2 linked regions of the Drosophila melanogaster genome follow. The protein of the gene in region 1 purifies or fractionates together with the protein of each later gene. This does not show direct contact. Each region holds a gene or a part of one and is shown in the gene's direction. Other genes may lie near its edges.

What was found. Proteins that work in one complex are often made in the same cells at the same time.
Region 2: the proteins of COX5B (region 1) and ValRS-m purify together in Drosophila melanogaster (affinity purification with mass spectrometry, with the first as the bait; one large-scale study listed by BioGRID). This does not show direct contact.

The regions. Positions count from the first base shown.
Region 1 is NT_033779.5:6,555,993-6,559,940, forward strand, and holds COX5B (cytochrome c oxidase subunit 5B), read left to right. Parts: upstream 1-1,807; 5' UTR 1,808-1,910; coding exon 1,911-1,992; intron 1,993-2,425; coding exon 2,426-2,599; intron 2,600-2,946; coding exon 2,947-3,053; 3' UTR 3,054-3,316; downstream 3,317-3,948. Other genes in the region: IFT52 (intraflagellar transport 52), read right to left, coding at 1-364, 421-1,066, 1,327-1,439; COX5BL (cytochrome c oxidase subunit 5B-like), read left to right, coding at 3,539-3,719, 3,776-3,948.
Region 2 is NT_037436.4:8,960,774-8,966,509, reverse strand, and holds ValRS-m (Valyl-tRNA synthetase, mitochondrial), read left to right. Parts: upstream 1-1,740; 5' UTR 1,741-1,883; coding exon 1,884-1,977; intron 1,978-2,045; coding exon 2,046-3,799; intron 3,800-3,854; coding exon 3,855-4,304; intron 4,305-4,363; coding exon 4,364-4,993; intron 4,994-5,053; coding exon 5,054-5,110; 3' UTR 5,111-5,236; downstream 5,237-5,736. Other genes in the region: CG5653 (uncharacterized protein), read left to right, coding at 148-1,578; CG13313 (uncharacterized protein), read right to left, coding at 5,615-5,736.

The DNA.
Region 1 (3,948 bases):
GCAGCACCTGGCCGGTCATGTGCGCCAGCTGGGATCGAGCTCCGCTGAAAGTCTCGTCGAGATCGTACAGCTCCAGCGGCGGAGCCGAAGGCTCGCTGAAGATGGGCGGAAACGTTGCCAACTGGACGTTGGGCAGCGGAATCTCGAACTGCGGCTTGATGATCTTCAGCGGCTCGTACTTGACATGCAGTTGCTCGTAGGTATCCATGACGTCCTTAAGCAGGCGGTTGCTCAGCCTGCAGAGCCTCATGTCAAACATCTGCTTGAAGTCCGTGGGCATGTCGGTTCCAATCGAATCGATCAGGCAGGCCTTTGGCATATCGGCCAGGAACCCAATATCGGTGAAGTGCTTGTTGTCGCTCAGCTGTGGATTATAATGCAATTAGTTTGCTGCAAACTTTCTGTTGGTAATTAACCCACCTCCACATCATTGAAGTCCAAGTGACTGTAGGTAATCTCATCGCCTCCAAGCAGCTTTATCAAGTACTCAAACATGGCATCGTTAGTCTTGTCCTGCAGATACTTGTCATGCCAAATGTATCCAGATCCCACCGCCAGGATTTTCCCACCTTTCCCGTTTGTAAAGTAGCCGACCAAGGGACGATTGAAGGGATACACCACTGGACCCGTGGTGAGCAGGACATTGGCAGGTTCCGATACATTCAGCGTGGCCCCATAGGGATATTGAAAGTGTATCTTGTACTTCTCGTCACTGAAATCGTAGTACACCTTCTCTATGTCTAGCTTGAGGAGGTGTCGCCACATGGACTCGCAAACAACGCCACCACCAACGATACACTCCTTGGGATGGAAGTTCTTGTAGTAGTGCGGTCGCACCACAGTGTCGCCGTTGATGTAGATCCCGTACTGCTCCAGGAAGAAGTTCACGTTGGTATTGAACTCCGGCTCCCCGCCTTCCCCCAGGAGCACCACCAGACTGCCTCCTTGCACCTCCACGTAGTGCTTCAGCACATCGAATTCATCCTCTGTGAATCGGTCCTGTGGCCCGGCGAGAACAAATATCTTAACCCGAGCAAGTCGCTCCATTCTGAGTTCCGCATCATTTCTGTAAATCCATTTTAAAACATAATTTAATAATAGTTCATTCTGGATTTTTGATTCATTCCTAAGTCTAAAATGTATTACATTTAAAAAAGTTTTGTTTTAAGGAAAACATCCTTTATGAAAGTGGGATATGCAAATATTAAAGATCAATCATTTATTTGAAAACCTGTATGAGCTGATTATTTTGATAGTTGAAAAATATTTGTTTTGTTTTTATAGTAATGTTTGCTTATTGGCCAAAATAATTTCTGGGATACTGACTGTTCCACATTCCAATTGACCTTCAATTTGCGATGCATCATTTTGTAGTTGTCCGATATTTGAAATCGTTCATTTTTTGATGTATCAAAGCAGATTACCGGCTTGCTTGACATTTTTCATGCAGATTCAATAAACTTTTTAATAAAATTTTTTGTTTTTACATTTGGTTGCCCGGCAACGCAGTGGCGCCCTCTTGTGGTTTCGATACCAGTGTTCCGCCGGTGTTTTCCAACACTTAAGTTCGGTTGATTGTTGCACACTGTAGGGTGACCGTTGTACATTAATTTTTTAAATGTGGTATATCGGTTGCTAACAAAAATATATGTTTATTATTATTTTAAGAACTTTATTGTTTAAGCTAGAGTTTATTTCCCAATTATTACGACGAATAACAATAGGACACTTTGTTTGTTTTTATTTGGTCTACTCAAGCATTTGAAAGTATCAATATCATATTTTCTGCAGCGTGTGGTATTTTTTCTTACTTTACCGCGGTCACACTGATCCATAGCTGTGTGAAAAATTACGAAAGAATTTTTGGTGTTCACCACTTAAGACCGACCGAAATTTTCGCAAAACGAACAATGGCATCGATCTGTGGACGCATGGCGCTCCGTGCCGCCGCACGCCAGAATGTTGCCTACACGCCCGTGCGCTTCTGCAAAAGTAAGTGGTGCAAATGCGGAGGGAAGTCCCACGGCCAGCTGCTTTTCGGTCACGTTCGCCGATTTGGCGGAGTTTCTGCCCTGGAATTGCATAATATTGGAGTGCAGGTGGAAGACCAGCATGGCACTGTGCTCCACTAACCTGGAGAGCATCAGATTTGGACCCACAGAAAAGTGTCTATTGAAAGTGCGAGGTTATGTAATAACTATGCGCTGGGAAATGTGCGACTTATGGTCGGAGAGGGGGAGCGGTGACACCACAGTGCGGAGTTAACACCTCGACAGAAGCTGGCCGGGATTACCCCTCCGAAGAGCTGTACTTGTGACGGAGCGTCTGGGTTTGGGGCGTCTGCTGTTTATGTAACCAGTGACCCATTCGCTTATCAATTTATGAGCTAATTCCTAATTGCGTTTCCCACTTCTCCGCCTTGCAGTGATGAACGATCCTTTGGAGCACGCCACTGGTATCGAGAAGCGCGAGCTGCTGCTTAAGGCCGCCGGCAATGATAACCCCTTCGACATGAAGGTCTTCAAGCGGGGCGCCGGCACCAAGGAGAACCCCAACCTTATTCCATCGGCCTTCGATGCTCGCATTGTGGGCTGCATCTGTAAGTAGTCCAACAACACCAGCTGCGGTCAGGATAATGGCAGAGATTGGAGTATTCTATCAGCCGTAAAATTTGCATTCTATTCTGTTTAGGTGCATTTCAATGACGTTTCTGTGCGAAGCAAAATTTAATTCCTTTCATTGTAATATTTATCCAATTGAGTCGCTTTAATTTAATTAAGTTTTGAGCTCTGATTAGCTACACACCGCGTTTAAACGTTTTCATATATTATTTTGAATAATTGCACACACTCCAACTAAGGAAACCTTAATGCCTTTATCCTGACCAAAAATAAAGCCCATCATTCCAGTAGAGTACTTTCTAACAAACCTTTCATTCCAAACCAGGCGAAGAGGATCAGACCTACGTGCAATGGATGTGGCTGCAGAAGGGCAACCAGAAACGTTGTGAGTGCGGCCATTGGTTCAAGCTGGTGGAGAAGGCAGCTGTTTAAAGTTATTATTAATTAATTCAATAAACCAATTAATAACAAAAACACAACAACTACTAAGCTAAAAGTCAACCCACTTAGCTGTCCAAATAAACAAACATCAACCCAAAAAAAAAAAAAAAAACGAAACTGTGAACAGAGAGGAGTGAAAGGGCGGCACAGCTTCCATTTTCAGATCTGCAAACGTGTTTTCGAACGCAGCCGAGGAAAATTGCTTAATTAACACAAAAAGCGAACAATAAAGTCTAAAGAAGAGATTTTGAGTGAAAATCAAAGGATTTATTTTAAAAAAGCTTGTCTAAAGACAGAAGAAAGTTGAATTTCGTTTAAAAATGTTTAAAATCGCAGAACTAATTTAATTTTAATAAGGCAGTAGGCGTCTTAATAAGAAATCAAACATTTTCAAAACCCTTTGATCAGATTCAACTCACTCAAAGTGGGAAATTCTCGTGTGATAACCATAATTTTCTAGATAAACTCCTTTAAAAATGTCGTCCTACATTTCGCGTCTACTTAAGGCTCAGTCCGCCTCCAAACGTCTGATCTCCAATTTAACCCAGCGCGACGGAAAGCTAAGCTCTTTGCTTCGACGACTAGGTTTACAGTGGCAAGGATCAGCCGCTGCTCCTCAACAGCGTCCCATATCCACAACTCAGGTGCAAAAGTCAGGTAAGTAGTGGTTGCAGCTTGCAAAGATCTCCAGTTCAGGTCTCATGCCCGATTAGCGCTAATTGCGGACGATCAACTGGTCACCGGGATTCAGAAGCGCGAAATGCTGCTGGCCAAGCAGGGCTGCGAGGACCCTTGGGGTTTCAGCAAGGTGATCAGGCGCGGATCGGGAAGGGAGAACGACCCCACCGTCGTGCCATCGGCGTTCGATGCACGCCTCGTAGGCTGT
Region 2 (5,736 bases), on another chromosome or scaffold:
AGCAGAGTGTGCAAAAAGTTGTACTCCAACCGCAGTGGAAGCCATTGAAATGCAGCATCCATCACTTGCCAAGTTAGCCCACAAACTTCATCAGTAGCTCGTTGATCGTCTGCTCTTTCTGTCGAACTTAACTACCAACGTTTCAAAATGGAAAAATGCCGTGCCTCCTCTAGGATAATCATAATCGGAGCAGGAGTTTCGGGCATAGCCGCCGCCACTCGACTCCTGCAAAACAATTTCCAGAATGTTCAGATCCTGGAGGCGGAGGATCGCATTGGCGGGCGGATCAACACCGTGTATTTTGGTGACAACGTCATCGATTTGGGAGCCCAGTGGTGTCATGGAAAGCAGCAAAATTGTGTATACGACATGGTCAAGGATATGGGTATCCTGCACGAGACAGGCGACTATTACAGTCCCATAAAGAGGGTGAGATCCAACAAGGAGGTGGTTCCACATGAGTTGGCCTGCAGGATTCACGACATTGCTGTGAAGAGCATGCCGAGTGGACCTCACCCGGTTGTGGGATCCTTTGGCACCCACCTGACTCAGACCTTCTGGCGCAAGATCGAGTCCGAGCTACCCCAAGTGAATAGGGATGTGGCTAGTGAGGCCTTGAATACATTTGCGAAGCATGAAAGCTCTATTATTGGTGCGGACAATCTTTTCGAGGTCTCCGTTAGGGAACACATCGAGTACCACGAATGTGATGGCGACAAGCTGCTCCACTGGGGAACGAAGGGTTACCGGCGCTTCCTGCGGCTGCTGATGAAGGTCAGCGCGGATACGCCAGAAGAGCTGGGTCTACTGGAAGGACGTATTCAACTTGATATGAAGGTCATCAAGATTGAGTTGGCGTGCCCCCGTAAGGTAATCCTGCGCTGCCAGGATGGGGATTACTTCGAGGCGGACCACGTCATCTGCACCGTTTCCCTGGGAGTCCTGCAGGAGCAGCACGAGAAACTGTTCGTCCCGCCGCTGCCCGCAGCCAAGGTGAATGCCATTCGCAGCCTCACCCTGGGCACTGTGAACAAACTGTATTTGGAGTATGAGAAGCAACCTCTTCCTGACGGCTGGGTGGGTTTCTTCTGCTTTTGGCTGGAAGAGGATCTGATAGAGCTGCGAAAGACGGAATATTTCTGGGTGGAGGGTATAACCGGTGTACACATGATCACTTGTCAGCCCCGAATGTTGATGGCCTGGGTGAATGGTCCGCATGGACGCCACATGGAGACCCTGTCCGATGAGAAAGTCCTTGAGGGCTTGTACTGGCTTTTCCGAAAGTTCCTCACTTTCGAAATTCCGCCGCCAAAGCGTTTCGTTCGCAGCTCGTGGTTTTCGAATCCGAATTTCCGTGGCAGTTGGAGTTATCGTGGAGTTATGGCCGATGAAAGGAATACGGGCCCCTGGGATCTAGAGTCTCCTGTGTTGGGCGAAGATGGTCATTTAGGCCTCCTTTTTGCCGGAGAAGCGTCTAGCAGGAATCACTTTTCCACCGTTCACGGAGCTGTGGAGGCGGGCTATCGGGAGGCAGACCGGCTCATTGATCATTACACCTCATGCAGTGTCAGTGCCTGAAAAATATATTTTTTTATCGTACTTTTCTTTATGGTTTCTTAATAAAATTGTTCTCTTTTATAAATTAAAAAAAATTACATTGGATCCTGATATTCACATACGTACCCTCTGAGATGTTTTATGTTTCTCTTTTGACAAATCAAATAAATAATGAAGTTTGAAAAAAAATTGAGGAGGAAAGCTCTACCGTTTCTCGTTTGAAATTGGCGCCCATAAGCCGTATATCGATTATCTCCTCAGCTGTTTTTATACCATCACCAATAAGATTACAATTTTTTTTGACATAACATAACACAACATTAAAAATGCAAATAATTGGGAATTGTAGCAGTAAACTGCTCAGACACAAGTACCTGTGCCAGCCAAGGGTGTACTCTCTATACTACAGTACCCTTAAAGGTGCGTTACCTCCAGTTTCATTCAAAACCCCAGTGCCGGCTAAAGAACTCACTTTTTTCCACTTTTAGATGCGGCTAATGAGCTTCCCTTGGCAGCAGGATACCAGCCACAACCAGTGGAAAATGCTTACTGGGAGCGGGAGCATCGCCAGGCAAATTTGCCCAAGGCTTCAGCCAGCAGTTGCAAGCGGGGGACCTATCGCATGCTTCTACCGCCACCAAATGTAACCGGGAATCTACATTTGGGCCATGCACTGATGGCCACCGTGCAGGATGTGATTGCCCGCCAGCGCGAACAGCTTGGCTACCAGGTGGACTGGGTACCAGGCACAGATCACGCGGGTATCGCCACCCAGGTGGTCGTAGAGCGCACGATTGCCGCTTCTCAGGCGAAAACCCGTCATGAATTGGGACGTTCTGCTTTTCTGGACGAAGTATGGCGCTGGAAGGCGGAAAAGGGTGCTGGTATCGTACAGGATCTCCGCCAACTCGGCTGTAAACTGAATTGGCAACGAGAATACTTCACAATGGATGAGCAGCAGGCGCATGCGGTCAACGTAGCTTTCGAGCGACTCTTTGAAGAAGGCCTAATTCAGCGGCGCAACTCGGTTGTCAACTGGTGCACCGCTCTACGTTCCGCGATATCTGATATCGAGGTGGACAGTGTAGAGATCACGGAGCCGGTAGAGATATCCGTTCCAGGCTACGATCACAAAGTACTCTTTGGCAGAATGTACGATTTCGCCTATCACGTAGTGGATGGTGAAGCACTGCCCGATGGTTCGGTTGAAGAGATTGTGGTGTCTACCACTAGACCAGAGACAATTTTGGGTGATGTAGCTGTCGCAGTACATCCGCTGGATCCGCGCTACGCCAAGTACCGAAACATTGATCAGGTTAAGCTCAAGCATCCTTTCCGTGACGACACCATTCCACTCGTTTTCGATATCACCGTGGACCAGGAGTTTGGCACCGGGGCAGTGAAAATCACACCAGCCCATGACAAATTTGATTTCGAGCTGGCCACTCGCCATAAGCTTGAACCTCGCCAGGTCTTTACTGAAACGGGTCTTGTGGTGGATGCCTATTCTGAGTACAAGGGTATTCCGCGCTTCGAGGCGCGAGATCTCATCGTCAATCGCCTGGAAGAGATGGATTTGCTGCGACAGGTGCGCTCTCATACCATGCAGTTGCCCATCTGCTCGCGTTCCAAGGACGTCATAGAGTACATGATATTGCCGCAATGGTTTCTTAAGTGCAAAGACTTGGCAAAGGATGCCTTATCTGAACTTCATAGTGGACGTCTGCAAATCCTGCCTCCGAACTTCGAAACGGAGTGGGAACGCTGGCTACAGGATAGCCGCGACTGGTGCATTTCCCGGCAGTTGTGGTGGGGGCATCAGGTGCCCGCATACGAGGTCATCGACTCCCAGGGAAACAGTCAATGGGTGGCTGCCCTTGACGAGAAGACAGCTAGGCAGAAAGCCATGAGACTTATTGGTAGCGAAGAATTTACATTGAAACGTGATCCGGATGTACTGGACACTTGGTTTTCATCATCGCTGCTGCCTTTCTCCACAGCCGGTTGGCCAGAGGAGAGCTACAAAGAAAGATATCCTTTGGACATAATGCAGACTGGCCATGATATTATCTTCTTTTGGGTGGCGCGCATGATGATGTTGGGTCTGAAGCTGACCGGCGAGGCACCCTTTCAGAGAATTTTGCTAAACGGCATTGTGTGCGATGCTCATGGCCGGAAGATGTCCAAGAGTATCGGCAACATCGTGGCCCCACAGCAGGTGGTTCAGGGCGCCAGTTTAGAGGTAAGTTAGGCCATTCTTGCCAAGAATAAAATTTAACGATATATTACATCTGCAGAGCCTGAAGGCTGGCTTAGAGCAATCGTGCGAGGCGGGCATTATTACGCCTTCAGAGTTAAAGGCCTCCACGATTGGAATGACGCAAATGTTCCCCAATGGCATTCAAGAGTGCGGCACCGATGCTCTACGCTTCACCCTGATGAGCCACAACATCAAGAGTCACTTCATTAGCTTCGATGTGAACGCCTGCCACACCAATAAGCTTTTCCTAAACAAAGTATGGCAAGCTATGCGATTTACCCTCGGCTCAGCCAAGGGACTGGGAATCTCGCTGCATCAGTTTGAGACTCTTGAAGGTGTGAATCTGGGCCTTTGGGATCGCTGGATCGTCGGACGCCTCGCGGAGACCTTGTCTGTCTGCTCGCAGAGCTACAGCAACTACAATTTCCACTTGGCCACAGCAGCCCTGAAGACCTTCTTCTATCAATATCTCTGTGATACTTACTTGGTAAGTTGGTTGTCATTCAATTGTTACTCAGCATCAACAAAAGCTGCTGAAATCGACAGGAAACAACCAAACCTGCGATAGGAAATCGCAGTGCTGATGCCTACATCCATGTGGGCACCCTGACCGCTTGCCTTAGCTGGGGACTGCAGGCCATGGCCCCGTATGCTCCCTTTGTGGCTTCCGAATTACTGCAGCATGTGCCCCTTAATATAGAGCTTAAACTGTCCGACTACAAGGATGAAAAGTTGGAGGAAGAGGTCAACGAAATAGTGAACATCTGCCATAATGTGCGACAGGTTAAGAGTCGCAATGAGATTAGCAAGCGCCATCATCCGCAACTCAGTTTGTTTGCCCAGAATACGGACTCGGAAGGAGTGCTTCGTCGTCATTTGCCGCAGATCAAGGTGTTATCTCGCTGCGAAGACGTGGAACTGGAATTGTTTGACGAGAGCTCAAAGATTTCGAAGCAACTCAGCTACTTCTCAACGGCAGGAGCACTCTGCTCCTTTGGCTTGAAATTGAGCGATGGATTGGATCTGACGCCGGAAAAACGAGACGAAATGCAGAAGGCCAATGCCAAAAAACTGAAGAAGTTGGTCACCGAATTGCAGCGGTATCGCATGCGCCTGGATAACGAAGCCTTCCAACTGATGGCCGACAAGAAAGTTAAGTCACATTTCGAAAATAAGGTAATGTGCTATAAAGTTTTGATTCCATGCGACATTATTTTTATTGGTTTTTTATTGTAGGTCAAAGAGTTGGAGGCGGAAATCAACAGTCTCACTCGGCTGGCAGTATTGTCCTAATGCACTGCATAACAATTAGCTTAGATAATGCCATTGTTATTGACTTACATCCGCCTAAGTCATCTGTTTGTTTAGAATTAAAGACTGCAATATTTATTAAATGCGCAACGTACCTTATAAAGGCACTAAGCATAAAAATACTCAACTACTTGTCACTGATCTAATTCAAATATCAATTTCTGTTCGGAAAATTTAGACATTTCCGTTTTAAACCGCTAACTCTTTTGTCACCAAAACCGCAAAATACTACAGATATTTTTTTTGAATTTGTTTTAAATTCCTATTAGATCATTTTTGCTAATTGCTAAGTTCACGAAATCAAACGAATATTGGTTTAAATCGGAAATGGTTATTGTTTTTACACTTTCGTATGTTAATTAATGTTTAAATTTACCAGATGCTTCGTCCAAATTCCTCGAAAGGATCCCCAATTTCTCTTCTCCAGATATGTATCACGGTTTTTTGTTATGCTATGATTATCAAGTCTTTTATTGTATACCATATTTACAGAATTGGACACGCGTTCTGCGAATACGACAAGTAGAAGCCGCGATTCGATATGTCCATATCCTCATTACCATCGGTGACTGTGTAGACAACGAATGGCTTCGCCGATGTGGTCGTGG